Oryza sativa Japonica Group: one gene and its partners. The protein of the gene in region 2 interacts with the protein of the main gene of each other region in a pairwise test. Links are inferred from orthologs where the notes say so. Each region holds a gene or a part of one and is shown on either strand. Other genes may lie near its edges. The genes, in order: peroxisome biogenesis protein 2, ubiquitin domain-containing protein DSK2a and 26S proteasome regulatory subunit RPN13.

Region 1 (10,933 bases), on a different chromosome or scaffold from region 2:
TTCACATCACAAATCTTTAAAAAATTACATACAAATCAAATACATCACAGATCGATTATACATCTTAGATCTATGCAATGAATCACAAATTCTAAAAAAATGAATTATACATCTCTCAATCACACATTATCAAAAAAAAAGCCGGAGAGAACCGGCGCGCTGCCGCCTGCTGCCCCGTGTGTGGCCCGGCCGCCGCGCGCTGCCCCTCCGCCCGCTGGCCGCCTGCCCGCCGACGCTGGCCACCGGATGTGAGGAGGAGAGGGGAGGAGGAGGAAGGGGAGGAGGGGGGAGGAGGAGAGGGGAGGGGAGAAGGAGGAAGGAGATCTGAGGGGTAGGAGGAGAGGGGATGATGCAATCTTATCTAAATATCTCGGTGAGGAGGAAGTCTTGTCTGGGACTTAACCGATTAGATATGGGAGAGAAATATTTACTCCTGGTTGGAGTATCCAACCGGGACTAAAGATAGATTTTTAGTCCCGATTGGTATTATCAACCGGGATTAAAGATCTAAATAATCTTTACTCCCGGTTGGTAACACCAACCGGGACTAAAGTGGGTTGGTAGTATCAACTGGAACTAAAGATCTTTGGCACCCTGATATGCCTCTGGCAGGCCATGAACTGGGACAAAAAATGATCTTTACTAAAGATCAAAATTTTTATAACCGGGACTAAAAACAATCTTTAGTCCCGGTTCTAATAAGAACCGGGACTATTGTGGAAAACAGTCGACCCAGCAAAGACCACTTTTCCAGTAGTGGCGGTTGGAGAGCCCGAACCTATCAAGTGCGAATCGGAACATGCGTGACGTGGTCAGGTCACACTCGACATGCTCCCATCCGCACGGCGTCACGTCGGACTACATCCACATGGCCAACACGCCCATTGGGTCAAACAACATCGGCTTGAACATGATTGAACATCGGCTTGACAGCGTCACGTCGGACTACATCCACATGGCCATCACGAGCTATTCAGGGCGTCCCTATCACCTGCCCCTCGAGCATGACCCCTGTGGGCTATCCTTGGGGCACACTAGCCCCCGAGTACGGCTGCTCAGGGCATATCAACCCCCGGGATGCGGCTCCCCGTGGGCAGAGCTCGGGGCACATTCGCCCCCGGGGGCGATGCTCGGGGTACGTTTGTCACCTGCCCCCATGTACATGGGGTAACACAGTAACAAATCAACCCAGTCAAGCTTAGTATTTAATGCGAGGTAACTATACCCACCCAACTTGCAACCGGAACAACACACGACAAGACAACACATGCCAACCTTACGATAAGCCTTCATTACCCTTATGTGGAAAGGGGTGGGCTACTAGGCGGCACTGTTGACTGCCATATGCCGCACGTCTAGCCTATAAATCGTCCAACACTCTCTTCTGACAGCTGGCACATGTCCTGATGATTAGGTCTACCACCAAGAAGCAATATGACCAGAGACACCTAACCCCGTACCGGGGCCCATTTGTAAGAAACAGGCCACTGTGATATCCCCTTGCAACTATAAAAGGAGGACCAAGGTCACTGAAAATGGGAGAGATGACTCTGGGTTAGAGCCGATCCTAGAATGTCTCCATCATCACACAGCATCCATACAAAGAGGAATGAGCTCCCTAGCCTTAGAGGAGAAGTAGACCAACACCTTGTAAACTTTCCAACAAGGAGCTCCACCAAGAACACACGAGTAAGGTATTATGCCTCCAAGTGGCCCGAATCTGTCCAGAAAACACATGCCTCTCTCGTTTCTATTGGCGTGAGCATCACCTTGTTTCCACGCACGCACTCCCTGGTCGAATCTCCAAAGGGGGAGTACTTGCTTCCCCACTAGAGGAGTTCCATACTCCGACAATGACCAGCCCTAGCACCTCCTCGTTCACCAACATCGGCATGGTAGTGTCGGTCGTGGAGGCGACGATGAGCACGAACAATAGTAACATGATAGGCATCACCATTTTAGTTGCCGCGCGAGTGCCGAGGCGACGATGGCGATAGGAGTGCAAGGAGGAAAAGAGAGAGGAGAGTGACACGTGGGTTCCACCTGTTTGATTTAACGAGTCAACCGCAGTCAACCTGCCACGTCAGTACAAACTGCTAAACTATCGAAAGAGTCGATTTGCATCCAGTTTTCAAAAACGGGGATGTGTTATACTTGATTTTACAGTTGAGAGAATTATTCTACGAGGAGTCAAAGGAGCAAGAGATGAGGAAAACAAAATAGACGTTTTCCAATATTTATTTTAGGAAAAAGTATACCGAAGGTCCCTCAACTTGTCATCGAATTATAAAATCGCCCTTAAACCACAAAACCGGATACAACACGTCCCCCAACTTATAAAACCAGTATAGACTAGGTCCCTCAGCGATTTTGACTCCGGTTTTGTCCGACGTGGCAGCTGACTCAGCGTGGGACCCACGTGGGTCCCATATGTCAGCCCCTTCTTCCCCTCCCCTCTCTTCCTCTCTCATCCCTAAACCGGCGGGGGACGAGCGGCAGCGGCGGTGATCGCGGCGGTCGTTGCGGCCTTGGGAGAGAGGAAGAAGTGGAGTCCGAAGGCGGCGGGGTCAGCGGACGGCAGCAGCGGCCGGCGCCCCTCCCGGACGTAGAGCTCCATGGCGGCAGCGACCAGGTCGGCCACGCGCCACTCGGCGCGCGCCATCACGTGCAGCGGCCACATGCTCGGCGAGCAGGTCAGGCTGCGTCCGCGGCCGCTGCTTCAACAACGAGTGTCGTTGCTCCGCCGCGCCGCGCCCGTGGAACGACGCCGACCGCTGCCGCGGCTTAGCCACCGCCGCCGCTGTCATCGCCGCCGCCGCCGCCGCCGCGTGCCGCTGCCTGCAGGGCTCGTCCTTGTGCTCCACCGGCGCCACGAGGGGAGGCATGGTCGATCAATCAAACCAGAAGCAAACAACGAGGAAGCAGAGGATGAATCGGAACGCCGGAGTGAACTGCGATTCATGGGCGCGGCGTGGCGGAGGTCCATTGTCGTCGGTCGGATCGCCGGAGATGGGCGCGGCCGGCAAGTGCCGGGGGAGGAGCTGGACGCGGCGGTTGTCGTCGTCGTCGAATCTGGGGAGGTGGACGGAGGAGGCAGTGCGGCAAGCCGACCGTGACGTCGGCGTCATCGTCGGCGATCCGCTCTCGCCGCCGGGGCCGGTAGACCGGAGAGGAGACGGCTGCGACGGCGGGGATGGGGGCGCCGACGGAGGCGGAGGCGGATGGGGAAGCGCGGCTCGACGAGGGAGAGGGCGCGGGCGTAGGCGAGGAGCGCGTCCCGCAGCGAGGTCGTCGTCGGCCGCGGCCGCCTCCCGCTCCGAGTAGGCGGAGGCGATGTGGAGGCGGAGCGGGTGGCCTCGTCGCCCGTCGCCGCGGCCACCTCGTCGCCTGTTGTCGCTGCCGCCGACGCCGCCTTGTCGCCGCCACCGGCCGCCGGACTCCCGCCTGCCGAACTGGGGAAATTTAACTATTTGCCACTCTTGTGACATGGCAATTAACGATTTGCCACATCCTGTCAATGACATGTGGGCCCTCATGTGTCTATGACATGTGGGCCTAGTGGCAAATCGTTAAGCAACATCCGTAAGAGTGGCAAATAGTTAAAAGCCCCGCCGAACTGGAGCGAAGGGAGAGAAAGAAAAGAAGAGGAGAGAGAGGAAGAGGGGAGGGGAAGAAGGGGCTGACATGTGGGACCTACGTGGGTCCCACGCTGAGTCAGCTGCCACGTCAGATAAAACCGGAGTCAAAACAACCGAGGGACCTAGTCGATACTGGTTTTGTAAGTTGGGGGACACGTTTTACGCGGTTTCGTGGTTTAAGGATGATTTTGTGATTCGATGACAAGTTGAGGGACCTTCGATGTACTTTTTCCTTTATTTTACTATCTTCTTGGTAAGGCCCATAAGGGCCCATGTCAAGTACTAGTATCAACCGAATCCCCAATCGCACGCACTTTCCTCGATCGTCCGCGCGACACGCACCGCTGGTCCGCTGCCCGCTGCTCGTCCCATCCACCCCCGCCTCTCCCACCGCCGGCGACGCGCCGTCCGCCCCTCTCGACCTCTCCCTCCTCCGCGCCGGCCGTCGCGTGCCCCCCCTTAACTACCAGGTGGGGCGGATCGGCCCGCCACGCTCATCGGCTTCCTTCCCCGGAGGCGGGGATTTCTCGCGTCTGCTGTCGCTTCTCATGCTCGAGCTCGCATCACGCGTCCACCCGTGAGCTCCGCCCCCTATAATGACGGATCCCGAAACCCTACCCTCTCCCTCCGCCTCCACTGACTCGTCGTCGCCACCACCGGATGCATGGGCCGCCGAGTACCGGAGACTCCTCCCTCAGTGGGAGTCAATGCGTGATTCATCCAAGGTACCGATATGTCTAACTCACCTCTGTTCTTGGGATTATTTTTTTTTACTGTACAAACTTTGCTATCGGGTACTTTTTCTTGTTTACGAAATATAGGGTTCTAAAGGCCCGCTTTGCTGCATTCAAGCATATCGGAATACACATATTCGATTGTAGTAGTATTCTTTGAAGGTCTGAGGTTTCTTAGCTACATCCAGATTTTTTAAAAAGAAAATGGTTGCCTAGTGGGGAGTCACTAGTCTCTGTTTTCCCAATTAATTGATTCAAAAAAAATTAGTTGTGGTCTTAAATAAAGAGCGGATTTTTGATCTGTTTGCTACAACTGGCAGGAAAAGGTTCACTATATTGTTGGGGTAGTAATGCATTGTTGAATTTCTTGTGTGATACAGATCGCTATCCCAATTTCAATATCTAGAGTTAACCAATTTGATGCTGCGAGGCTTGATGTCGAGATGTCCGCCATGTTGAAAGAGCAGTTAGTCAAAGTATTCTCTTTGGTGAAGGTACTTCCTTTACTAATCATGGTGATATGGGTATTTCTTATTGCTTGCGCATCAGCTTATTACCTTCAGTTTGACATATGTTCCAGCCAGGACTCCTGTTCCAATATGAGCCAGAATTAGATGCTTTCCTTGAGTTCCTCATATGGAGATTCTCAATATGGGTTGATAAGCCAACTCCTGGGAATGCGCTCATGAACCTGAGATATAGAGATGAACGGGCAGCGCCCATAACAGGAAAAGAAGGTATTTGCTACTTTATTGTGTCTCAATTGTTAGCAGATCTGTATAATGTATATGGTACGTACTTTATGGCATTATCTTTAGTTGCTATGCTGGTTATAGCTCCCCAAAGCATACGAAATGTTTGGATCTTTCTAAAGTGTGTACCAGGCGACCAGGATATTTACACTTTGATCGTGTATCATCCTTGCATTACAATACCCTTATTTACTTTGGTTGAATCACGTGTTATGGTGAAATTGCACTGGTTTCAGATCGCTTTGGTGTGAGTTTGTCTTCAGCTAGTTCAGGAAATTATGATTTTATTACTATCTATAGGGAATAGAATCAAACCAATGATTGCACCTACAGAATGCTGATCACAATTTATATGGATGTGCCATACCTAATTACTGTCTCCTTTCCAATTAGCTGTTTATTGACAAATAAGACATGGTGTCCAGAAATACATGCTATTCTACACATTTTTAAGTATCATTGCACTAATTTATTCAAAGGAAAAAGGGCTTATTTATGTGGTATGTTCTTAAATCTCCTGAAAAGAGCATGTGGCCAAGAAACTTTAGGTTCAAAACCTTCAAGTAAGAATTTCCCTAACATGAATATTATAAGTGAGTAAAATATGTTGTTAAAAATCCTCAAGTTCTGGGTTACTAGATTGCATATATCTTCTAGGAAATTAATTTTTGAACCAACATGTTTATGATTACTTGATAAGGGCACCGTGGGTTTTCTCATGTTATTATCCACTAGCTCAGGAGATGCACAATATACAACCTGACTACAATTCTGTCACAAGTGATCCGGTGGTTGCATGTACAATATTTAATGAAAATACAAGATGCATCATCCTAATTACTAGTTTTATAAGAAACAAATTGAGCCAATTAAATATTCAAATATGAGTAAAATACATTGCTGGTACAACAACTTGTGAACTGGGTGCAGATTAGTCACTCATCTTGCAAAATGCTCAAAAGAGTCACATAACTTGATTAGGGTACGCAAATATGCACCCTAACACATGATATGTGGCTTATTACACCGACCTTGTTGCCAGAGTGGTCCCTTAAGGGACAACTGGGGGCAGCATAGAATCCATGAATGCATATATGTCACCATTTTCAGTTGCCTGAGCCTAAAGCTTTGCAGTTTACTCCTCCTAGGCTATTAAGTTGGGCATGGCAATCCTATAGGAGGACATTACATTGATCTGAAACATGTATGTATTCTGTCCACACGTTGTTCCTTAGGCCAACCTGGTCTGTATTTCACTGTCATTAGCCCCACATGACATGCATCGGACTGTATTTCCACTCTCCTTTCAAGTTGCCTGACTCATTTGAGCATTTTGCAAGATGAGTTGCAAGCCTACACCCACCTAGCAAGAATCCTTGCTGCATTTTACTCTAAATGTAAGCTAGGTTGGAATTTTTTATTTTCATAATGCAAGCTAAATTATTTTTGTTGTAGAAAAAGGAAAATAAATATGGTTAATGCATGTGTCAACTTCTTGAAGGTTCAAAATGGTCCAAACGCTTAACTATTTTTCAAGCTGGCTTGTTTGGTTGAGATGTGCCTAATATGACTAGGTTTCCCCATTTTGTGGCCTGTGCATCCATCCCATTAGGGCCTGCAGTAGCAGCATCCTTAAACAGGGTTTGTTATTAGGATTTAGGAAATCTATCTATTTTGTTGTCTGGTATCTTCTAGTTAGGCAAGCTATTTTTTGGAGTAAATTATCTATAATTTTCAGGTCTTAGGGAGTCCTCTATGTAAGAAGCCTATTGTAATTGTTTCCATTTAGCAGTATATATAAATCAAATAGTCCTGTCTACCCTCCATGTTTTTGTTGCAACTGCTCGGCCAATTGGCTCTTGTGGATTGGGCTGTGTTGTCTTCTTGATTATTTGGTTAGTGTGGGGTTACATAGGTCTTGGCCCATTATCAGGTCCAAAACTTTTTTATTTTTTGTTACTCGTTACATTCTTTGGCTTTATGGAATGCTACTGATATGCTAATGACTTATTGTTTGTAATATTATCCTAGCAAGTGTTGATGAATTCCATGTGTTTTTCAGTCAGAACAGGTTTGGAAGGACCTGGACTTTCAGTTTCTCAAAAGGTTTTGTATTGTATTAGCACTGTTGGTGGCCAATATATATGGTCCCGCTTGCAGTCTTTTTCTGCTTTCCGTCGATGGGGTGATTCTGAACAGGTGATCTTCAGAACTTATTCGAAAAATTTAATTCCTTTTTTTATTCTTATAACTTTCTTTCATAATTTAGAGACCACTAGCACGTCGCGCTTGGGGCTTGGTGCAGCATGCTGAAGGCTTATACAGAGCTTCTTCATTCTTTAACCTTTTGTTATTTCTTTATGGTGCAAGGTACTGTTCATCAACTTGTTTATTTATGTTCATTTATTTATTCTGAGGAGACAGTGAAAATGGTAATTACTCGTAGACTCACAGCAAATGGTGCCCAGTTTGGCATTACTGATTGGTCTATCTGAATAGACTTAAAAGTGTCGGCATCCACAATTAATGAATTACAGTGACAGTATAGTTTACTTGAGTGAGCTAGGTTAGCATGTTTTTTTAAGAAAACAAGAGTTCAGACTTGCTTATGTATTTATGCAGATATAAAACTATTGTTGAAAGGATTCTGAAAGCAAGACTTGTTTATGAGAGCCCCAACATGAATAGGGCAGTAAGCTTTGAGTACATGAACCGGCAACTGGTTTGGAATGAATTTTCGGTATGCCTCTCTTGATACATTCTTGTTTAATAATTTAAATTTCAATCTTATGCAGTGATGTATTTGACATCCTGTACATGATTCCGTCCTCCTTTTCACATTGAGTACATACAGAATGAAACCTTAAGTCTAGCCTCTTGTATTTCTGTAAGCTTGGCAGTTTTACTGTTGTAATATTACCGAAAATAAATTTCTTTCAGGAATAAGTGTTAATAGCACATCATAACCATTATTAATATTATTATTAATATTATGATACATGTTTATGTAGATTAAGGTTTTTTTATACACTAGCGTGGTGCGAACGTGTTACAAAGTTACAGTGGATATAAATTTAAGATTCAAATAAAATTTTTAAAAAACTTTCCTCAAATATAAAAAATATTTAGATGACCACAAAGCAAACTCAACTCATGATGGAAAGAAAAAGGCTCTTATGTGAACCTGAATAGGAATAGCGAACAAAGGCTACCACTGAACAAAACCTTGAGACATATAGGAAGATGGGAACTAGGATGTGTGGAACAGAGCAGAAGGGACTGGTTAGGAAGGACAGAGGTGCACATCTGCAAAGAATGCCATTAAAAGAAAAGAAAATCTTGCGAGGAATACATACATGTCCACATATAGGCAGCCATGAGGATTTAAAACACATAATCACCCCCAACTCACTAATTTATTTTTTTTCAGAAAAAGAACTCACTAATTTACAAGAGTAAATATTTTCGGACTTTACTTTCTCCCCATCTACCATTTCTCTACATGGGAGTAGTGGCGGGTGGAAATTGTGGAATAAAATTTTTAAAACATCCTTTTTGTAACTATAGATTGCATGTTATTTCTGCTCCACTGAGATACGTATTCTTCACTAGTTATAGTTACGCCAGAATATAATAGACCTGTCACTCTGAATATTTAGTTCTACGTTTTCTCAGTCCTATGATATTTCACATTGAAAATACTTGTTCATGTTATAAAAAGGGTAGTGTAGTGCTAAAAGTTGGTTTGTACCAATCTGGAGATATCATTTATAAAAAGGGTAGAGTAGTGCTAAAAGTTCTCTCTATCTATTAAATCATACTGCGATGTATGCATTGTATTTATTGGGGTGATCAAACAAAGAGTTGGTAATAATTATTTCTTGATCTTTGCGGTAGTGATAGTTGCGCCTTATTTATCGGATGGAGGGAGTATTTATTTAAATTGAAAAATTGAATTTAGCAACATGTGGTCAGTACGACTGCTGACCTAGTGATGGCTGGATACCTCAACCAGGTCAGTGGCCGAGAGGAATAAGTGATAACAGTGTTGAAAAACCTGCATCAGAAAGCTTAGGAAAAAGTTTCTTGTCCCATTGAATAATTGCAAGCCCACCACGTTTTGCTTCAGTGGTCACATCATCAATCTTACGTAATTGTGTAATAGAGGAGATTGAATCAGCAAATATGGATTATAAGGGCCCCATGGAAAAAGAATGGAATATGGACTTAATGTTAGCAGCATGGAGCAAAATGGGATTGGTTTAAGTAAATCAAATTGTTCAAAGCCTTGTAACAATTCTGGTTGTACAAGCTAAATGTCTGTATCACCATGATTGTTCACTGTTCTTTACATGCAAACTGGTGACTGGTGAGAGCTGATAAACAAAGATCAATGTAACTCAGTCAAAGTGCTACCAGTCAATTTATTGAATGATGATGCTTTCAAAACATTTTGTATCTATTTTTTGGAAAGTATTAATTCTGTGGCTAATTGATGATTGCATTGCTAGTGACTTGATGTTCAGTATTTTTTTGCATTAATAGTATTGACAATGTCAGTAACTTACTTTACAGAACTTTAGCTGATAGTTGATATTTGCTTTATTGTCCAGGAAATGTTGCTTTTGCTTCTTCCCCTCTTAAACTCATCCTCAGTAAAGAAGTTTCTTCTACCTTTCTCCAAAGATAAATCAGCAAGTTCTTCTGGCGATGAAGCAGACTGCCCTATATGTCGCTCCAGTCCTAGCATTCCCTTCGAAGCTCTCCCATGTCAACACAGGTGCTCTTCTTTCTCCATCTCTTATCTTTCAATCATAACTTGTTCAAAGAAGCTCATTTCATGTTACATAGTCAGAGATGACAGTTGCTAATCATCGTACTGTTTAGTATCATTTCAGTACACATATACTTGCTCATAAAAAAAGGGTAGGAGTAAAAAAAATTGAAGCTTTCTAAAACCAAAATTTTAGTCCTTGACATACATTATCCAACACTGTAACTGTGAAAAATCAATTGGAGTAGTTTTTGCATGACAGTACATGTGCGCATGTTAGGTCACAAAATCTGGATCTGTTAATGTGCCAGTTTCGTATCCCAATCCCAACCTCTATATGTCGTTTTCTTTTTTCAGGTATTGCTATTACTGCCTGCAAACACGTTGTGCAGCCACAAACTCGTATAGATGTGCAAGGTGTAATGAGATTGTTGTTGCAATTCAAAGACAAGGATCAAGTTAGTTTAGAGTTGAATCCATATACATACAGTGTAACAAAAGCCAATACAGCTAACTGGATTCGCGACAACTACACATGATTTTCTCCCAATCAACACGATTGGTTGTATTTACTCGCTGTTATATTTTGAATTCCATGTTTGTATTATGTGGCAGCCGTATTGGGCGGATCTCTCTCTTATTTTTCGTGCAATATAGTTTTACCTTACAATCCTCAGGCACGGCCGTGGGCAGAGATGAAGAAGGAAGAATAGAAAAGGAAAGGAGGGGAGATAGATAGGTAAATACTCCCTCCGTTTCAAAATATTTGACACCGTTGACTTTTTAGCACATGTTTGACCGTTTGTCTTATTCAAAAGTTAAAAACTTTTGTGAAATATGTAAAATTATATGCCTACATGAAAATATATTTAACAATGAATCAAATGATAAGAAAAGAATTAATAATTACTTAAATTTTTTGAATAAGACGAACAGTCAAATATGTGCTAAAAAGTCAACGACGTCAAACATTTGTGCTAAAAAGTCAACGGCGTCAAACATTTCGAAACGGAGGGAGTATGTTGTTTCATATGG
Region 2 (9,310 bases):
GTCGGTCGTCGTCGACGTCCGCGACACGTCGTGCCGCCTCTCCCACCTCGCCACCGGCGCGACGGCGCCGCTGCCGAGGCTCAACGCCGTCCGCGCCACCGCCGGGTCCCGCGTCGTGCACCTCGGGTACGAGCACTCCGCCGCGCCCGCGCCCGCGCCCGCTCCCGCTCCCGCTCCGGCCAAGACGACGGCGAGGCGCCACCGGAAAAACTTCCGGGTAAAGCGCAGGTTCCACCTGGCGCGCGGCGACGACTGGCACCGGCCGATGCGGCGGCGCTGGGAGGTTCGGATGAACCCGGCGTGGAAGCGGAGCTTCCGGCTGCCAGACACGGAGCACGCCGGCACCGGAGACGAACAGTTCTGGATCAAGATCAAGTTTCTCTGGTATTCCATGTTCCTCGAATCCGACCTCCAATTCTCACACTTGCTCCGCTTCGCCGTCCATGTCCCGGCGGCGGCGAGCACGGACGGCATGCTGATCATGATGTACCACCCGGTTCTGGGGACACGGGCATGGTCTTCTGCCGGCCCGGCGACGCCGCCTGGACGAAGCTGGACAACCCCATCGACGACGACAAGCATGTCTACAACTTGGTCGAGTTCGCCTACCTGGACGGGAAGGTGTTCGCCATGGACAGGGGCGGCACCACGGCGGTGATCGACGCCGCCACGCTCGAGGTGCTCGACCTCGTCGACGCGCCGCCGGGGACGCGCAACGTCTCGAACAAGCTGCTCGGCACCGCCAATGGCGACGACACCGTCATGTCGCTCGACTACCTCCACCTTGTCGCGCTGCCGAGCAAGCTGCTCGTCGTCAGGGTGCGCGTCAACAAGTCGTCGTCGGAGCCGGAGGGCTTCGACGTGTTCGAGCTGGGACGACAGGATCATCGCGACGGCGAGGGCAAGCTCGCCTGGCGCGAGGTGGCCGGCGACGACGTCGGTGGCAACTACGACCTGTTCCTCGACGACCACCACGCCACCTTTGGCGGCGGCGGCGGCGGCGCCGGCGGCGATTCCGGTAGCCGGATTTACTACGTGCACGACGGGAAGGAGGCGTACTGCTACAGCAAGCGGCATGGCGAGCTGGAATGCGTGTACTCGGCGCCGGAGGGTAGCGAGGAACAGTGTTCCACCATGCCTAGCTGGTTTGTTCCATAGATCCATAGATTAAAGTTAGATGATAGAGATTTACTCCAGCCTAACAAAAATTATCTCGAGATATCGGTACCTCATGGTACTGTGAGGTACCGGTACCTAAGGTACTTTTTGTTGGGCCAAATCAAATCTATAAATGATATAACCCCGCACGTTGTTGTGTGTCTGCTATGTTAGAAAGTCTAACATTATGACGATGTCAAATTGATCAATACTCTATAAGATACTTGTCAAGATTACGGATAAGGTATACCCTCTATCCATGGATATACGTTGTATACTGATATGGTATACCCGCGCGCACACGAATGTTTTCTGTACACGTTAAGGCAATCTATCACGTAATAGAAACGGAGTCCACCGATGGAAGGAGTCCTACTCGGACAGAACTGGGTCGTTACCATATCGTGTGGGGTCTGATATCTCCAAGTTCTACTGGGAGATCGACTGACCCGCGGTATAAAAGGGACCCCCGAGCAGGACCTAAGGCATCGAATATCACCGCCAACACATCCACCACATCCTATGAAGCCGGAGGCTACAGGAGCCAAGTCACCGGGTGATCTAGTCGAACCAACTCGATTACGGTCTCGTCGGTATCATCGAGTTCCATCATTCCCTTTGTAATCTGTGATTTCCATCATATAATCCCATACCAACTGGATTAGGGCTATTACCTATCAAGGGGTTTGAACCAGTATAATCCCTGTCTTTTGTTTTGCTACCCCAATACCCTTTATATCCGGTCTACGGATATCCACCGTCGATAATACTGTATTTAAACAAAATCTTCTTTATATTTATGGATATAAACCCTTAAGCAAAATATCAAAGAAAATATTTTGTATGACAGGGAGCGAGATATTAAAGAAAATATTGAATGATGTCTTGTATTAGAAAACAACGTTGCTTGATTCCTCCAAATTGTCTTTGCCCGGTTATCTTTTGCCATAATTACTTTTTGTAAAACCAACTAGATACATTGTTTTGTATGGCAACTTCAACTTTCATAAAATTAAATTCTCTTGTAGATTCTTACATTAAAATCCAAATTCGCATTATATATAAATTTTCGCCCAAAATTACTTTTTTACTAAATAAAGTAGTCATTTTCATTTGACGGGTTATATTAGCTGGTCGGTAAACTGACAAGGTTTTGGTGCTTATATTGAACTGCGGATTGTGTACAAGATCAGATTTCAGAACATGGATTGACGTGTATTTCGGTGAATTTGATCAAGCACGTCGGGCTAGAGCTAATTTTGGCCAAGTATCTTTATTTTGTTACAAAAGTTCATCTTGAATTACTTCTGATAAAAATTCTAACTCTTCTCCTGTTTCCTAAATCAAATTGAATTACTTGAACCTTTACTGTTTCAACCACGACGAGCTTAATAAATTGCGCAAAATTTATTCACGTAGATTAAGAGTCCATCACGATCAGAAGTTGCACCGAATTGTCCGGGTACGCCACAATTTCGCGAAGATAAATACCGACGGAAATGAGAGCAAGTTTAATAGTATAGCCAACTAGCTCCAATTCGATTATAGCCAATCCAATAGCTCATTCATATAATAGGTATATACTACACTATTAATATCTAGTCCCACTTATCATACACACACTGTGTCTTAGAGTCCGTGCTACAGCTGGCTACAAATCTATAGTCCGCTGCTCCTCTCTCTCTCTCTCTCCTTATTTATCAGTATGTTTACAGATGCATGCTCTGAGTAGGCCACGTACCAGAACATTCGGGCATTGCCAGGTCCACGGTACGCGTGTCACCTCACATGACTCCGGGACGTGTGCCGCCGCTTAAGCCCGCTCTTTATACGTGCCCTGCAACGGCAATACTCTACCACTGTACAGGGTAGTAGATCTTTCGTACGTTGGAGCCGGCCGGATCGACGACCATGGGGTGCGACGACAAGTGCGGGTGCGCCGTCCCGTGCCCCGGCGGCACGGGCTGCAGGTACGGCGATCTGGTCGCCCTTGGCATCTTGGCGACCGTGAAACCAACTGAACAATTCAAGTGTATGTCCACGCGTGTGGGTGCAGGTGCGCGTCTTCGGCGAGGAGCGGCGGCGGCGACCACACGACGTGCTCGTGCGGCGACCACTGCGGGTGCAACCCGTGCAGGTGCGGCCGCGAGTCGCAGCCGACGGGGAGGGAGAACCGGAGGGCCGGCTGCTCCTGCGGCGACTCCTGCACCTGCGCCTCCTGCGGCTCCACCACCACCACCGCTCCCGCGGCCACCACCTGATCCATCCATCCATGCGCCCAAAAATGCCCAACGAGACGTGTTTATACGTGTGGTTAAGCGTGTGTACGTGCGCCATGCTTAGTACTCATAGCTGCTTAGCTAAACAGCACAGCTGATAAATAAAAAGGGCTTGCTGCTTGAGTCGAGTCGTATCCCGTTGTCTAGTTCTGGCTAGACTCGCGCATCACGCATGCAACGGACATGGTGATACGCGAGGGATGGAGAGTTCGGAGTTGGGAGACACTGTGTACTGCAGTACCAGGTTGATAAGTGTGTCTGTACTTGTGTAAATATGTTTTACATGAATAAAAAGGTTGGTAACTTTGTCATGTTTATCAATGCGAGGGGCAATGCTTTTCTTCTTCGGGAAACAAAAATGCGAAACTCAGTATGGAAACATACAGCACAGCTGACATTGTTACCTGGACAAACATCTCTTTAGATGAAATGAACTGAACTGCAATTCTGCAAATATCATACACAAACGTTCAGAGTAATTCATGAACATTTCCACGTCAAATCTGACTGCTCCATTATCGAGCACAGCCTCTGAACTTTAACCAGAAAAGAAAAAAAATGGTGCAGTAACCTATCATGTATTTGCCAATAGAATCCCGAGAGCAGTGCAAATGTCAAATGGATAGAGCAACCAACAGAGAAGACACAGCACTAGCATGGCAGCTGCCTTGTCTAGAACAAGGCCAGCTACCTTAATTACCTTATGCCTAGAAGAACAAGGCTGCGTTATGATTTATGAAGATACCCCAAAACACAAGAAGGCATCAACATACATCTTGAGGATTGGGAGCCGACAATTGCAAAGGTAGACCCATATTCTATGCGGTAAGATCCGATAATTTCATATGTATGTACATCAACCCAAATAGTCAAATACAACACGGTAAAAACAAAGGCATGACGACCATGTATGGAAAAGTTAATGGTGGGGGTGGGATTTCTTTGTTTTATTTTCTCCTGAGACTGTAGACAGACGCTGCGTTTGAACTTGGAGGGGCTAAAAAACCTCTTGCAAAAGAGCGGAGTTGGTGACGTTATGGGCAGCGTCTGGTACGCTTTAGCTACTGGCCAAGATTGCCAAGAAGACGCTCCACCGCAGCATTCACATTCCCAGCAGTTGCGACTAGCGCCTGGATGTTCTCTGCAGTGTCGATGAAACCCATCTCTCGGAGCTGAGTGAGCTGTGTTGCATACAGTTCTTCCGGTGGAACTGAATCACAAGTGTAAAACCATAATTAGTGATGATACAAAAACATGGAAGATGATAAGAGTTACTATACAAACCATTGGATGTATTGGGTACACCTATGCCACCTCCAGCACCAAGCCCACTAAGCATGCCCATCAAGGTGTCGAGGCTAACATTTCCCCGCATGCCTGCATTTTATTTCATTGGCATTTGCCACATTACTTAACAAAAAGGTGAAAAAAAATGCATTTGTAAGAATTTAATTATCAAATGCTCAGTACTCGAATTACCACTACACATCTAACATTGCTCCACAATTTAGAAGGCAGTACAGTTGACTACACAAACAACTCGTATAATCTCTTCCATACCAATATAGCACAGTCAAGCAGCTAAAGAGCTCAGACACGTTCAACACATAACAGATTACTTAAATGGAACTATGGTTGTGACTAAAGGTGTAGGGAGCTCTCATCCATTCTCCAATAATCAAATCCACAAGCAGCATTCAGTCATAGGCAACCCATTTCCATTTCTAAGTAAGGAAAAAAAATCATACATGTGTCACGCATCACCCCAAAGACCTTGTTTTGCGATCCCCAAAACGAGGCCTGGTCGCACGGTCGCACCATATCGATCATTGATATTTCTTTTTTTCCAATATTTCAAGGAAACTCAAATTTAGAAATTCCAATGTTATGCACCACAATAAGGTAGTGTCAAGAATCAACCACTAGTAATAATCATCATAATGTGTTTATATAATGTAATGGCCTTATGGAAGAACGGAAATCTTGAAGAACTAATACAGGTCAACCAAGCAGTGAAAGAAAGGCAACTATTGGTGCTAGAACGAACCACCACTAAAAGATAACTCAGTACGCACTAAAACTTATGTAAAACCTGACATACTAATCCATCTTAAAACAAGAAAAGATATTAGATGGTGCATATTAAAAAAACAATCAAGAGAAAATACCTGTCGCATTGCCTCCTTGGCTACCATCCCTGAATCAAGAAAATCAAAAGATAATTAACAAACACATAATGAAAGAAATACAGTATAAATGAGCTAGATGCAATTCAGGTACTGTTGAACAAGAGTTACTCACTGCCTAGGTTGATTTTGACCAAGCTGTGATAATAATGTCTGCTGGAACGAGAGTAATTGCTGCCAAAAAAGGGAAAGTTAATCTAGATAGAGATGGAGCTAGCCACATACATAAAACGTAACATATGTTACCTGCATAGTTTCTGGGGATGTAAGCTGGCGAATAAATTCTGGATTTTGGAACATTTCCCTCAACTGAGTGTTTGATTCCATGAGGTTGCGTGTATTTGGGTTGAAGTTAAGCAACTGTGGACATTTTAAATTACAGAATGATCTGAAGTTATGACTCTAACATCATCAAAGTTATATAACAAAATAAGTTAAGAAATACCGTACCTGGTTCATGGACTGTGGATCAGACATGATATTCTGCATCATCTGCATCATAACAGGGTTTTGCAAAATCTGGCTCAAGGAAGAAGAATCAGGAGAACCACCAAGCAAACTTCCCAAATCTGCTGAACCCAACCCTCCTAGACCACCAGTAGCACCAGTTCCTGTATTACCGGCAAGACCACCAAATAAACTGCTCAGATCAGCTGACCCCAACCCTCCAAGGCCCCCAGTGGCACCGGTTCTTGCATTGCCAGTAGAACCTGCCCGTGTTGCTCCTTGCGCACCTCCAGCTGTCAATTTAAGTGTGAAAAAACAATAGATATATAGATTATCAAAAACAGAATAAACAAGAGGATTGAGAACATACCATTGGAGCTCCAAGGATTTGGAAGTGGATTAGTGTTTGGAGCAGGGGTTCCTGTTGTAGACTCTGAGCCAGTATTTGGAGCATTTGTAGCAGGATCCCTTGGTTGGTTAGAACCCTGATTTCCAAGAAGAGCTGAGAATGGGTTTGGAGCTGTGTTGCCTTCTCCACCCATTGTTGTCGCATTTAGGAAAGGCTCCTGGACAGTTTCATACATGCGTCGGAGCATATTAAACCCTTCAGGAGAAGACTCAATGTTGCTCATTGCTCTGTCTGTGTTCCGCATCATCTCCCTCATGATTTCAGGGTTTCTGGCTGCTTCAAGGGTCTGGCGGAGAACACTTGGATCATTGAGAACATGAGCAAGATCTGGATTCCGGTCGATGATATCACGCATTTGAGGATTGTTCATGATCATGTTACGAATTAAATCAGGGTTATTCATGAGATTCTGCATCATTGGCATATTCATTATTTCCCTCATTAAGTTGGGGTTTTGGCTTAACTGCTGCTGCATTTGATCCAATTCTGGAAATCCAGACCCAAAAAGACCAGATGGCCTGGTACCAGCAGTTCCTGTACCACCAAGGCCAGGAAACAAACTTCCAAGACCATCTGTTGGGCCGCTGCTAGGAGCAGCTGAAGCTTGGGGGCTGGCTGCAGCAGGTGCAGCTGATCCGGCTGGGGGACCAGCGCCACGCACCATATGAATGGTATGATCTGTTTCAACACCTACAAAATATAAGGAGTGTGAGAAGCAAGAAAAGAATTATGCTTGATAAGTCAGAAATTTGAACAGCGGGCCAGCATATCTACATAAACAAAGAATATTCCAATATCTGATGTAATCATATACAAGAGAATTACAAATGAAAACTTCTAAAGAATTCACATGTGAGAGACTAAAGAAGATAGTGCATCGGATGACTATGCCATAAATCCTCATTTATGGCATGTTAACATACTTAGCGTGCCCAATATTTCGTATTACATGAGAATTACTTGGTACTCTCTCATAAAAGGTAACAATTTTCCCAGAAGATGTTTTTCTTTTTTGTTAAGGCATCATTGATTCAACGCATTTATTTAGCAGCATTCCACCATGTAAGGATGTTCAGAACATGTCTTTTGAAAGTTGTTCCCTTCTTTTCCTCAAATACACATGCACGATTGGCCAATTAACTAACTAACGTTTTCCTCATATGGAAGTTTTTGCATAGCAAGAAGCTACAATCATAATCAATGTAATAATTAGTTAGCATCATTACCCGCTGAAAATAAATATGAAACCATGAGCTGACATAAATACGAGTTCCAAACATATATACACTTCCTGCGAATCAGCAAACGTACTAATTTATTGTAACAGTAGCACTAGAGAAACAGATTCACGTTTTCCTTTTTTTTCAAAAGACAGCCCACTGCTTAGTTCCATTAAACAGAACAATTGTTTGGTTTACTGTTCTCGGTCACTACTTTGTAATCAACGGAAAGAAAAGGATGATTTTACATTTGGTGAACCCATTTCCATAGCAGGGTTGTGCACTTAACCAAATAGTGTTTAAGAAAAATTGTTCAGTTGCATTGCAAACAACAAATTGAAGTATTTACTTGTATTTGCACTTCATAAACTACATTCAATAATAAAGTGCACTCTACCCAAAGTTCACAGATAAAAATAAAGCCCATATGATGCTTCATGAGAAAATAAATTAACTTTCACTACAACTCCAAGAAGATTCTAAGATGTCACACATTGCGACATAATAACAACGTATGCGTAACTAATACGAGCAGTAGCTTACATGGCCCCATAAGTCCATAACATTTGGAACTATATTCGAGTCGCGACAAGATGAGCTGCCTTCAGCTTCTTCATCATCTTATACGCTACGTAAGAGTAACCGTTCCGTTCGCAGTATACATTATCATTAATACACTACACACTCTATACTCGCATCACCCAATCACCAATAACTGTGTAGAGAAGCAAAGCATATCGACGAATCTGTTTCGCTAGCATGCATAGGGCACCGAAGCGGATTGCTGCACCTTGTCCCCCATGAACAGGAGCCCCAGGTATAAACAGGCATTGCATCGACAAAGCTAAATCGCGGCTTCTTACAACTACACGACTGAAATCGAGCACGTAGCATGTCAATTCCAACCCATCGGACCAAAAATCCTGACGATTTGATGGGTTTTTTTTCTCCTCCTCTACCTAACAGTCCTAGACACTCACCATAGCTTTCTAGGGTTTGCTCGTCCTTGAGGATCCGGCCCTTGTAGATCAGGCGCTGCTGCGCCGCCGGCACGTCGCAGCTCCCCGCCACCACCTCCTTGAACGCCCCCACCGTGGCGTCGAGGTCGGCCCGCACGGTGAACTTGGACCCGTTCGCGCACCGGATGTGCAGCGCCGCGGCCCCCGCCACCGCCGCCGCCGCAGCCGCAGCAGGAGAGGACTCCCCTCCGTCGCCGCCCCCGGCCTCGCCTCCTCCGCCGCCCATGCCGTCGACCTCGGCCCGATCCGCTCGGAGTCGGCGGCCTCGCCTCCGATTCGGGGTCGCGTCGCGTCGCGTGCGTGTGCGCGTGAGCTCGAGTTTTTTTTTTCTTTTTCTTTTCTTTTTTCCTTTTTTTTCTTTCTTCGGGAGAGGGGAAGAAGAGGAGGAAGGAGAAGGAAGGAATCGGCTGCGAGGCGGAGACTTTTTAACGGCGGGGAGCGACGCGGGGTGGATGCGATGGACGGCGGAGATGCGTTGCGTGCGGGTGTGGGTGGAGTGTGTCACTGAGCGGTGGGGCCACGCGTGGACCGACGCGGCCAGTGAGTCCAGGTCGGTGTGGGGGCGGGGCGCGGGGAGAAGGTTCTAGGCGTG
Region 3 (10,752 bases), on a different chromosome or scaffold from region 2:
TGTATCTTCCGTGTAATCCAAAAAAATTCTCCATTATTAACCTTGGCACCAAGATACACTTGACTGGCAAGGGTATGTGGTTTCAACCTCAACAGGTAACATGCTCATATTATTTTCTTAAAAGGTAATTGGAGAAACGTCTCTCTAAATCTCGTTTTTTAAATCTTGGCACCAACAGTGCATAAATTCTCTCTTTTGGCCCGAAACACATGAATATTAGATTTTGATTCAAGATTTCAGGAGTACTAACTTCTGACCAAAATTGAATGAATTTTAGCCTTTGCCCCAAAGCACATGAGTATTGTCCTTAGGCTTAACATTGCATGAGTATTATCCTTGGATAAAAAAGGAATGAAGGAATTTTAGCTTTCGGTCCTAAATTTCATAAATACTTACCTTGGCACGAAAATGCATGAATATTAGTAAATACTTTTGCCCCAAATCTTATGAGTACTAATGTGGGCCGAAACACATGAACAACGGCGTCCAACAACGACAACGACAGGATCGAAGCTTTTCCCGTCAACGATGACGAGGGCGAGCATCTTCTTCATCAGTACAGATGCTACCAACGATGCTTTGGACGACGAAAAAGAAGCAGCAAGAGGCAAAGCTGTTTGGGAATCGCCAACTTCCGCGAGCATCTTGCTCAGGATTCTACCATCATACATGCAGAGCAGAGAAGAATGAGATCGATCATCTGTACTTGAACTGGGAGGAGCAGTGCGCAGACGTACGCCCAACCCAGCTGATCGATCAGCCGATCCATCCATCCATTATATGACGACGACGCCCAAGTACACTTAACAATGGTCCAGTACCTTTAATACTCTACTGAGCATACACCAGTGCAAAATAGGCTAGACCACCGTATCCTCCCTGTATACACATAACAGCACAGGCAGTGCAGAATAAAGCCAGCTTCAAAATGTCTATGCCACCTATCAAGCATCTATAATCAGATCAAATGACTAGAAATAGGCCTGTGCGTGCCAACATAAGTCCAGTCCCGCTTTGTGTTTCATCAAGTTTTCAAACCAAACCATTTTGACATTAACTCTCATCCATGGGATCATTTCCACCGCCTCTCTGGGACTCTGAATCCTTGTCTCCAGCTCCTGAAGCTTTTGCCACGGAGTCTTCAAGAGCCTCCAGGAACGAAGCTACTGTGAATTTATCTGTGCCACAAAGACACCCATCAAATAAGTTTTCCGAAAACATCTCACTCCATCTCCAGATTTTACAAATACTAAATAAATCATTTTCAGACTTGACCAACTAGCATCAAGGATGTTTGTCGTCTAGCAGAAAAACAACGCTCATATTTTGGGCAGGGGTCACCTCCATAAGCCATTGAAAGTAAAAGCTAGACTAGCAAGGTAAATATCATGGTCATTGAGGTATCAGTTGCAGAATTTGTGTTTTTTCAATACATAAATAAAAGTTTCAGCCACATGCACAAATTATCTACCGTGTATTTGCGAATGAAAAAAAAAAGGAGCCTGCTACATGCTGCATTTAACTTTACTGTTCAGTGCAAATAAACGAGAAATTTGGTTGTCAATATAAGTGAAGATGAGAAGGATTACATTTACTAGGGTCAACTCCAAATTGTGCTAGATCTATTTGCCCAGTCCGCAGCACCTGCCATACATGCAAATATCAGAATAAAAATAACATTTGAAGCATTGTGTCACGATTCACCAAGATGTTCAATAGAAAGATGAATTACTAACATGGGTAAACGCTTCTACTTGCTGCCGCAAAGGAGGACTTTGCAATAGTTCAAGAATATCACCAGCAGTCCATGGGCCCTGGAATTAAGCAAGCACAATAAAATGAGTGGAAGAGTCAATTGAAGTAAGAACCAGGATGACAAATACAAAGTTACAAACCTCTGGAAGATATGATGCCAACTGTTCAATGGGCAAAGTTTCCATGAGTGGTAACACCAAATCAGGCTTCAAGATGTCTCCTAATCCTAATCCTGTTACAGCGGTTAAAAGTACTGATACATACAGCAAATCATTGAAGAAAAGTGAATCAATAGAGTATTGTACTGTAATTACCAGCATCAGGGTCTGCCACAGCATCTGAAATTACAAGGCGAATGCAAGTAAAATAAAATGAGAAGGTGGTCAAATGGAAGAACATTTCAAAAGTGACATGATTTTTCAGCTGATACCTGATGGCTGTATAGCACTCAGTATTCTCTGCAGGTCTTCCAACCGTACTGGCCCAGCAGCAGATGTCACCTCACCAGCTAAATCAGCAGTCATGCTCTGATCAACTAAATTCCCAGCTCTGATGAGAAGAAAGAAGGAAACAAAGGGGTTAGAATTATTAAATGGTCATTAATTCATTATACCCAAAACTCAACACGCATGCATGAATGCCATATCAGGAACAAATTGAGGCCACACTTTCATATATATTTAGCAGGAAAAATATCAGTGTGAAAATAGGAAGAATGAAAGGCAGTGCACAATAAACTCAGCTAGACATAGATAGTGTTAACTTATGCATGAAATTGGAGTGAATATACTTGTGGTTTATAATGAACGTGCATCCATCTGTTACTCTGACGGCCCCATTGAAAAATAAAGATTGCAATGCAAACGTCTAGGTTTTTCTGTGCTGCACATTGCATCTTGCAGTTCGTTAAAATTACCTGGAGGAGATGTCATCATCAGCTGTGTCTTCATGTGACATTTCAGCTTCAATAGAAACTGCCTCACCATCTGCACGCCCATACAACTTAAGACACAAGAAAAATGAGCGCATAATTAAGAGTTGAGATCCCAACGTTCAGCATACCTAATGGTCGGTTTATGTAGGCATTAACTTGGCGACATATTTGTGAGTCGTCATCAGCACTTGGCTCCTGCACAGTAAAGAGCAAAACACAAGTAAATTTTAGCTGGTGGAAGGACTTCTGTGGTTTTCAAACAGATACACACACACACACTCAACTGACCTGCATCCAGAAGAAGAATTTCCTGCTATCGTGCCTGAACTTCAAGATGTAAACCCTTCCAGAAGATTGTGTTACCTGATTAAGTTGAATTACAATCATCAATGAAGCCCAAGAGGTTCACTAAGATGGTCTTGCAGAAGAAAATAAACTTGAACCTATATTCAATACCTTCTCAAAGACAGCCTCCTCAGGGAAGACAATTTGATCCTGTGAAAAGGGAATCAAGGATATACAAAAGTACGATAATTTCCTAGGATATACACAATGGAAATCAGGAGAAACAGACACAGCCAAGTTCAAAGTTCAAACATACGAGTCATACAAGTACAGTATTTGCAGATTAAAAAATGAGTGCACGATGACTACTAACTACTATCTATGCTCGAGAGGATACAACTTCAACTAGATTCTGTCCACGATCAAGCCATTGAAAATGAACCAAGCCTTCTTCACCCTACAAACAAGTGGATATGTTAACTGCACTGCAAATCCCCATAAAATATGAGAATGCAAATGGCTTATAAGTTATACTGGACAAATAGAAGTACAGAACTTCAATTCAAGATAAGTATGACTTTTAGCATGCATACCCTTCCTATGCGAACAAGACCCTTGCGTGTGTCTGGGATCACTCGTGTTCCATCAAGGGACATCTTACCCGCACGAAACTCGCACATGATATCCTGACAAACACATGAGAGATTGTTTTTAAATAGAAGCTCAACACCTTGTTATATCATAGCAGAGATAAATGAGATGGCAAAAATAAATATATAGGTCATTAAGATTCTGAATAAGCACAAGATCTTAATTTGAGATAGATCAATAAGCACCATGCACTGCAACAGAAAATTAACTCAGTTCACTGAACTACTGAAAGCTCACTATACACAACCTACATTTCTTATCAGAAGATTTTCTTGCTACAAATTGCTAGCTAAATATTTTGGCCTTTTAGAGTGCAGGCAAAGATTAACAGAAGTTCTATCCCAGTTTTCTGAAAAGAACTAAAACATAAAGAAACAAACTGCCTAGTATACAAAAGAGACATCTATGTTTTTTTTTCTTTTTTTGTATCATGTACGATGAAAAACTGGTCCAAACATGGTTCAGGCCTTTGTACATATTACACACAAAACAGCCCATTAACATGGTACTACCAATGCCATTTTCTGTCAGGCTTTCTTTAACCAGCTGGCTCACTTGTCATACACTCAATTACTTGGCAAGATTTGCGAATAGTTGAGAATTTGTCCACCACAAAAGACAACCTCAATTATCCTTTTGGCAAAGTGTTGATACCAACCAAACAGCCCATAATGTCATTTTAGATGGAACTTGCAGCAGCTAAATCATGATCTCAAATCAACAGCAACCGATCATCGCAGTTAAACACTAACAGGAAATTCGGTATTTGAAAAAACCAATACTTGCAGAAACACTAGAAGGCAAAGTGAGGAGTTTACCTGTAGGGGCTCTGTGCTCTCCATTGATTAAAGAGTGGCTACCACAAGGTGCAGGCCCTAAAACAGGCAGTAAAAAGGACAGTAAAGTATTGGACATAGAACAAAATCAAGCAAGTGTGAAGTATAATAGGTTATCAGTAACTAGTTGTCAGAAGTGTACTGCATGCCAATTGAGATGAACAAAAGGTACTGTAGTCTGAAAGTAGTAGCTGCCTTTAGAACTTTGTGCATATGAGAATGAAAACATTATGCGCATGTGTTGGTAAAATACAGAAAAATGCACTTGTGAAGGATTAAAGAAGACTAGATCTATAAATTTATGTACACTAGAGTCTTTGTTGTGCAGTATTTGCATCTTCAAGTAGCACGTAGGCAACTGACAAATTAGTATTTACATAAAGAAATTCCTGCGTCTGCGTGCTTGTAGATTTGTAATTTGTAAGGTGGTTTCTTTGGGCTTTATAAGATATTATTACTGCATTACTTTTGTGCTGCTGTAGTGTTATTTCATAGTGGAGAACCAACGTGACCCAAAAAACGGCGAAGACTAGCCAAAAACCCTAGCAGCTAGCAAGTCGCATTAACATAAAACTCGTCAATGATTAGCTTGTTTGCAGGGGCTAGTTCCTTACAGGATGGTGCAGTGTTTTATGTTTGTTTATTTTTTTTTCTTACATGTAGATGTAAGCAAGGAGAGCAAAATAGGTGGGTGATCTATAAGATTTTGCTGGTAAGGACCCAAGAAAAACATGAGCAATAAAATCGATTGGAGCAGCCGTCCTAGAAAGAGAGATTTGGATTGGAGAGAGGAACAGGTAGGGCAAGGGAGAAGAAAATATCTTAGAAACAATGGAGCAAGAGTTGGTCACCACTCAGTCACTCACCAACAAGTGGGGGATTACGGAGGAGGGCTGGACGTCGTCGTCGTCGTCGGCGGCGGCGGCGGGACGGGAGGAGAGGGATTCTCCGACGCGATGTGATGTGATTTGGGGAGGCGATGACGACGGGAGGGGGAGCAGAGAAGGATCTCTCATGGTGGGCTGGGCTTCTCTTAGCTGGGCTGGAGAGGCCCGCCCACGCATTTGATGGCCCATATAAAAGCCCGCTCGGCAACTCCAAAGACGAAGTTGAGCTAGGGTTTTCAATCTCTTTCTTCTCTCCAAAACACAAATCGTCGCCGCATCCCCTCAACTCCGGCGATCCCCTTGGCGGCGGCGGCGGCTTCCCCAATCACCCCACTCCACCTGAACTACAGGATGGCGTCCGCCGGCCCGGGGCTCGAATCGCTCGTCGACCGTGAGTTCATCCCTCTTTTTTTTTTATCTCATCTCACCCAGCTACCCAAGATTCTCCTCCTCCTACTATTACTAGTGATAGATGATGTTTTTTTTTTCTCTCCAGAGATCATATCCGTCATCACAAACGATGGCCGCAACATTGTGGTGAGCCCCTTGTTTGATCTACTCGTACACCTTTTTTGTTTTTTTTGGCTCTCGCTAATACTCACTCGAATTGCCCTGCCTCCGCTTCGTCAGGGGACACTCAGAGGATTCGATCAAGCCACCAACATCATCCTCGATGAGTCCCATGAGAGGGTCTATTCTACCAGGGTAGGGTTGCTCCCAACTCTTTCTACGCTTCTTTCATGCTATCTTGCAAACCTTCAATTAATTTTACAGCAATATCAATATTTCACTAAGCTAGTACTATATGCCCTGATAATCCGGCAACACACACTTTACTTCCATCTTCATAAAGTTATGTTTACAAGGCGGTCATACTTACAGTTAGTTACTCTGCTAAATTTTTCTGCGTTTAGAATCTCTACCACAGTCTGTTTGGCATTTTCCATAGAGTTGCCTGTTTGCTAAGGCTACAAGTTCAGCCACACAATTTTTTTTTGTTATTCCAGTATGTCCTTGTTAATTGTGACCTTCTCCCTGGTTTGCTGTCAAATGCTCTCATTGGTTCACTAGTGCAGAATTCTGCAATCAGCAATAAGTTTCTCTCATGGTGCTTGAAAGTTAGTTGCCAACATGTATTACACAGTACCCTTTATGGCTAAACACAGATTGTTTTCAAAGATGGCTCTCTTTCATGATGGTTATAAATGTCATCATGAAGTAATGAGTTCATATTGTTGACTGTTCGTATCTATCATCATGTCTACTGTCAGTATGAACTGAAGTTCGTTTCCTGCAAAATAATGAGTTTATACTGTAACATGTTTTAGCTGAATTTGTCATAACAGCACCTTTTTCTTCAAGGATTGGTTCGATTAATTCTACCTTGTGCACGTTCAATTTTTCAGAAGTCATATTATTTTTTGTCTTCAATAGTTAGGTATTGGAATGTCTTTGTTCTTTATGGTGCAGAGTTGTTGTTCTAACAATTTGCAGGCAATGTTGACTATGAATAGTTATATGTCTCGTATCATGCACCTCTCTATTGAATATGGGATATGCCTTCTTAAGGACTAGGGGCCAATGCCTTTAAATTGTCATGCTTTTAGTTTGTGGCATGTGCTGTTAGTAGTACAGTTGAAATTTTGAGTAGTGATGAGAGAAATGTGTTGTACCTGCAGGAGGGAGTGCAACAGCTTGTTCTTGGGTTGTACATCATAAGGGGCGACAACATGTAAGCTATTTCCTCAATTGTCGTTTGAGCTGTTTATTGCTTATTAATTACCTGCATGGAGGTCGTTTATGGATGTGTTATTTTGTTTGGTGGTGTGCCTAACTGAAGTTGAATCCGTGGGTGATGCATATTTACAGCAGCGTGGTGGGGGAGGTGGATGAAGAACTGGATGCGAGGCTGGATCTATCGAATCTGAGAGCGCACCCGCTGAAGCCCGTGATCCACTAATGGAAACGAATGAATGATGTACTACTACTAGTAGTAAGCTAAACCTAAATGTAGTGTTGTCCCAGAAGTTGTGAAGAAGTGGGTGCTAGTGTTGCCGATGAGTGAACTTCTTTAACGTACGCGAGGAAGTCCAGCAAGCGGATGAGCGAGCATGAAGAAGAATGTTATGGTTTTATGTGGTGGTGGATGGGTGATGCATGTTTGTTGAACACGAACACAGACACAGTGACTCAGTGAGTGAAGATTTGGTTTCCATTGTATTGTATTGTTTGTGCAGCTGTATCAATGTACATGAATGAGGAAGGCAGGCAGGTCAGTTGTTGAAGAGAAGAAGAGCATATTAGGAGTAGGTGGGAGGGGTAGCCGGCTGGTGCTGCTCGTCTTTGAAGTAGTTGCAGGTGATGAAGACGCCGCCGTTGAAGCACTCGGCGCGGGCGCAGCCGATCCTGGTGAAGTTGGGCCTGACCATGAAGGCGAAGTGGCCGCACTCGTGGAAGTCGACGCCGGCGGTGCATTTGCCGGTGTCCCTGTCGTAGAGGTGCTCCTCGTCGCCCCAGCATCGGACGGCGTCGGAAGCCCTGGCGTTCCAGCCGTTCCTCCCGATGTAGAGGCTCTCGGCGAAGCTGTTGCCGGTGGAGTGGCGGATCTGGCAGTCGCCGCGCATGGCGTCGGACCACCGCCGCGCCTGCCTCGCCAGCTTGTTATCCCACCTCATCGGCTGCAGCCCGTAGCGCGCGCGCAGCTGGTTGTGGCCGTCCACGAACTCCCGCGGCATCCCCTTGTACCAACCCATCCCATTGGTCCACGACACCAACCACCCCGCTGGTGCCGATGCTGATGCGTCGTCGTTGAACCAACACATCGCGTCGCCCACAGACAGCAGCAGAAACCAACACAATAGCAATAGTAATGGGAGGATCATCGCGGCGGCGGCCATTGTCTGCCGTCGTCCCGACGAGGACGAGGCCGCCCGCCGATCCGATCCAATCCAATAGTGCTAATGGGCTTCTTATATCCTAGCTCATCTTTTGCCATTTGCTTTTCTTGGATTTGCCTCTCGCTCTTCCAACCATAAACAACGAACTAATAATGCCAATGCCAAGTTTAGGCAGTTTTTCTTTTCTTCTCTGCATCGATCATATCATCATATCGCACGGCCACTCTGTCCAAACAACAAAGCCTAACCTCCCCGGGCACTGGCAGGGCAGCTGGCTGGGCTCTGGCTCTACCAGCTTGCTGCCTGCCTGCCGTGTCTCGTCTGCTTCTACAACTACGGAGCACCTGTTTGCAACGGCCAACGGACGGAAGGAATGTTTTTTTTTTTTGTTTGGCTTGGATTCCATCCATCCTCTCCGGCCTGTTCGTGTGTACGCCTTGTGCTAGGCTAGGCTCCACACACCTGGACATTCTACTCTCGATCGTTCGCGGTCGCGGGGCCCTCTTCTGTTCTGTTGCGTTAATTGCGGCCGCTTTGCTTTCAATTACTTAATATCTGTTTTAATTTCTTCGCCACTTGACATGGTTATGAGTATGACAGATTAATATATGCTATCTTTTTTGTAAGAAAAACCGTTAATATATGCTAGCTACGACTGCATATATATGACAGATTATATACGTAGTATATACTTGTGGTTCGCAATAACGACCAGCTAGCTTAGCTAGCGGATCAATCATACGACGTTACGTTACATTATACTAGTACGTGATGATCAAAGAATCATGCATGTCAAGCTCATATGTGCTTTGTATCTACTACCTTACACTTGCTCTGCTTCTTTAACCGGAAAAGCTGTATGGCTGCTGAATGATTTTTGCTCGGAAAACTAACTATGCCTTACGCTTTCCCTTGCTCTGCTTCTTTAATTGGGTCGGAGTGTGTGTACGTATATATGCCGATATATATGATCGATATGATGCATCCAGCCGCGCGCTGTAGACCAAACTAGCTCGATCGGATTCACCCTCCGATCGGGCGATTGATCATGCACCAACAGCTAATTATAAGGAAACAAAACAGAGATAATTAGTTATATACTACTCCCTCCTTCCCAAAATGTTTAACGTTGACTTTTTTTAAATATGTTTGACTGTTCGTATTATTAAAAACTTTTATGAAATGTGTAAAACTATTTGTATACATAAAAGTATATTTAACAATAAATCAAATAATATAAAAAGAATTAATAATTACTTAAATTTTTTAATAAGACAAACAGTCAAATATTTTTAAAAAATAGTTAACGGCGCCAAATATTTTGGGACAGAGAGTAGTATTTAGTTACTCCTACCTATACGTTGTTGTTGATTTCGAGAGGCGCCGACCAGCCGCTGATCGATCGAGCTACGTAGCTATCTAGGAATTAATATACGACGAAAGACAAGTTACCCCATACTGTATATGATTATATATGAAATCAAATCAATCAATTAACTAATTAATTAAATGAAGATGATGTGTATATAAAGACCTACGTGTCCGGATGTATATATAAGTATTCCAGTAAGCAACATGCATGCATATCATCCATATAATGAAATCATGAATGAAGATGTGTGCCCCTGGCACCGTCCATACGTAATACTCGTACAATTAACATAGGGTAGTAGCAGTACATGCAGTAGCTTATCTTGTTTATTATCTGGACACACGATCGAGTCATATATATATGTGCATCCGAATGCGTGTGGATAACAGCTACCTCCAAATCCCAATCACAGTCACAATCAGAATCGCATGTCTTTGATCGAGTAGGATCGATCACAACGAATGGATATGTACGCATGCATCACCTCCATCCCCTGTCTCTCCCGCTCTCTTTGACCATTGCATATATATATATATCTTCTTCTTTTCTTACATACATATATAAATAAAAGAATAAAGATTATATATATATATATATATAGTAAATTTGTTTGGTGCTCCATGGTGTCCGGGCACCATTGTTGAAATTGAGTATATACCCAATTCAAATGAGTATGAAACTTTTTCAATTACTTAGGTATTAACATTAACTACTTTACTAACTAGTTCAAAGCATGTTTGTACTGAATTTGAACTTGTTTTTGTTAGATTTTGATTCTAGGTATATAGCATCCATACATATAATTAGTTAGGTATGTAATCATGGATTGTGAAATAAAGTTAAATTTGAGTTGTTTTGTTGATAGGTATAGATATGAATCGAATTATTATAACTAGGTATATACTCACAATTTAAAAATTTTGAAAAATTTGAGTGATTTTGTACATTAGATACCATGGTGCCCGGGCACCATGGTGCCCCATATGAGTGTCCTATATAGTAAATTTGTTTGGTGCTCCAAACAAATTTACTATATAGGACACTCATATGGGGCACCATGGTGCCCGGGCACCATGGAGCACCAAACAAATTTAATATATATATATATATATATATATATATATATATATATATA

The links.
Region 1: the proteins of ubiquitin domain-containing protein DSK2a (region 2) and peroxisome biogenesis protein 2 interact in binary tests that used the Arabidopsis thaliana proteins (3 or more experiments, as listed by UniProt). The link is inferred for Oryza sativa Japonica Group from reciprocal best matches to the Arabidopsis thaliana genes DSK2 and TED3.
Region 3: the proteins of ubiquitin domain-containing protein DSK2a (region 2) and 26S proteasome regulatory subunit RPN13 interact in binary tests that used the Arabidopsis thaliana proteins (3 or more experiments, as listed by UniProt). The link is inferred for Oryza sativa Japonica Group from reciprocal best matches to the Arabidopsis thaliana genes DSK2 and RPN13.

What each region holds. Positions count from the first base shown.
Region 1 is NC_089039.1:11,355,757-11,366,689, reverse strand, and holds peroxisome biogenesis protein 2, read left to right. Parts: upstream 1-3,950; 5' UTR 3,951-4,234; coding exon 4,235-4,363; intron 4,364-4,752; coding exon 4,753-4,866; intron 4,867-4,952; coding exon 4,953-5,109; intron 5,110-7,186; coding exon 7,187-7,323; intron 7,324-7,393; coding exon 7,394-7,494; intron 7,495-7,746; coding exon 7,747-7,864; intron 7,865-9,737; coding exon 9,738-9,904; intron 9,905-10,255; coding exon 10,256-10,361; 3' UTR 10,362-10,538; downstream 10,539-10,933. UniProt on the Arabidopsis thaliana protein: E3 ubiquitin-protein ligase component of a retrotranslocation channel required for peroxisome organization by mediating export of the PEX5 receptor from peroxisomes to the cytosol, thereby promoting PEX5 recycling.
Region 2 is NC_089044.1:21,857,737-21,867,046, forward strand, and holds ubiquitin domain-containing protein DSK2a, read right to left. Parts: upstream 9,035-9,310; 5' UTR 8,945-9,034; coding exon 8,680-8,944; intron 7,170-8,679; coding exon 6,441-7,169; intron 6,364-6,440; coding exon 6,074-6,363; intron 5,984-6,073; coding exon 5,870-5,983; intron 5,798-5,869; coding exon 5,739-5,797; intron 5,635-5,738; coding exon 5,606-5,634; intron 4,815-5,605; coding exon 4,722-4,814; intron 4,648-4,721; coding exon 4,499-4,647; 3' UTR 3,997-4,498; downstream 1-3,996. Other genes in the region: class II metallothionein-like protein 1A, read left to right, coding at 3,070-3,128, 3,215-3,419. UniProt on the Arabidopsis thaliana protein: Binds and presumably selects ubiquitin-conjugates for destruction. Prefers multiubiquitin chains rather than single ubiquitins, with a binding affinity for 'Lys-48'-linked ubiquitin chains.
Region 3 is NC_089039.1:29,804,072-29,814,823, forward strand, and holds 26S proteasome regulatory subunit RPN13, read right to left. Parts: upstream 5,432-10,752; 5' UTR 5,328-5,431; intron 4,501-5,327; 5' UTR 4,468-4,500; coding exon 4,444-4,467; intron 3,661-4,443; coding exon 3,568-3,660; intron 3,432-3,567; coding exon 3,372-3,431; intron 3,185-3,371; coding exon 3,146-3,184; intron 3,053-3,145; coding exon 2,978-3,052; intron 2,885-2,977; coding exon 2,818-2,884; intron 2,742-2,817; coding exon 2,672-2,741; intron 2,305-2,671; coding exon 2,186-2,304; intron 2,094-2,185; coding exon 2,070-2,093; intron 1,988-2,069; coding exon 1,896-1,987; intron 1,815-1,895; coding exon 1,737-1,814; intron 1,645-1,736; coding exon 1,590-1,644; intron 1,179-1,589; coding exon 1,054-1,178; 3' UTR 702-1,053; downstream 1-701. Other genes in the region: sm-like protein LSM8, read left to right, coding at 5,700-5,739, 5,845-5,885, 5,979-6,053, 7,028-7,080, 7,218-7,308; pathogenesis-related protein 1, read right to left, coding at 7,649-8,245.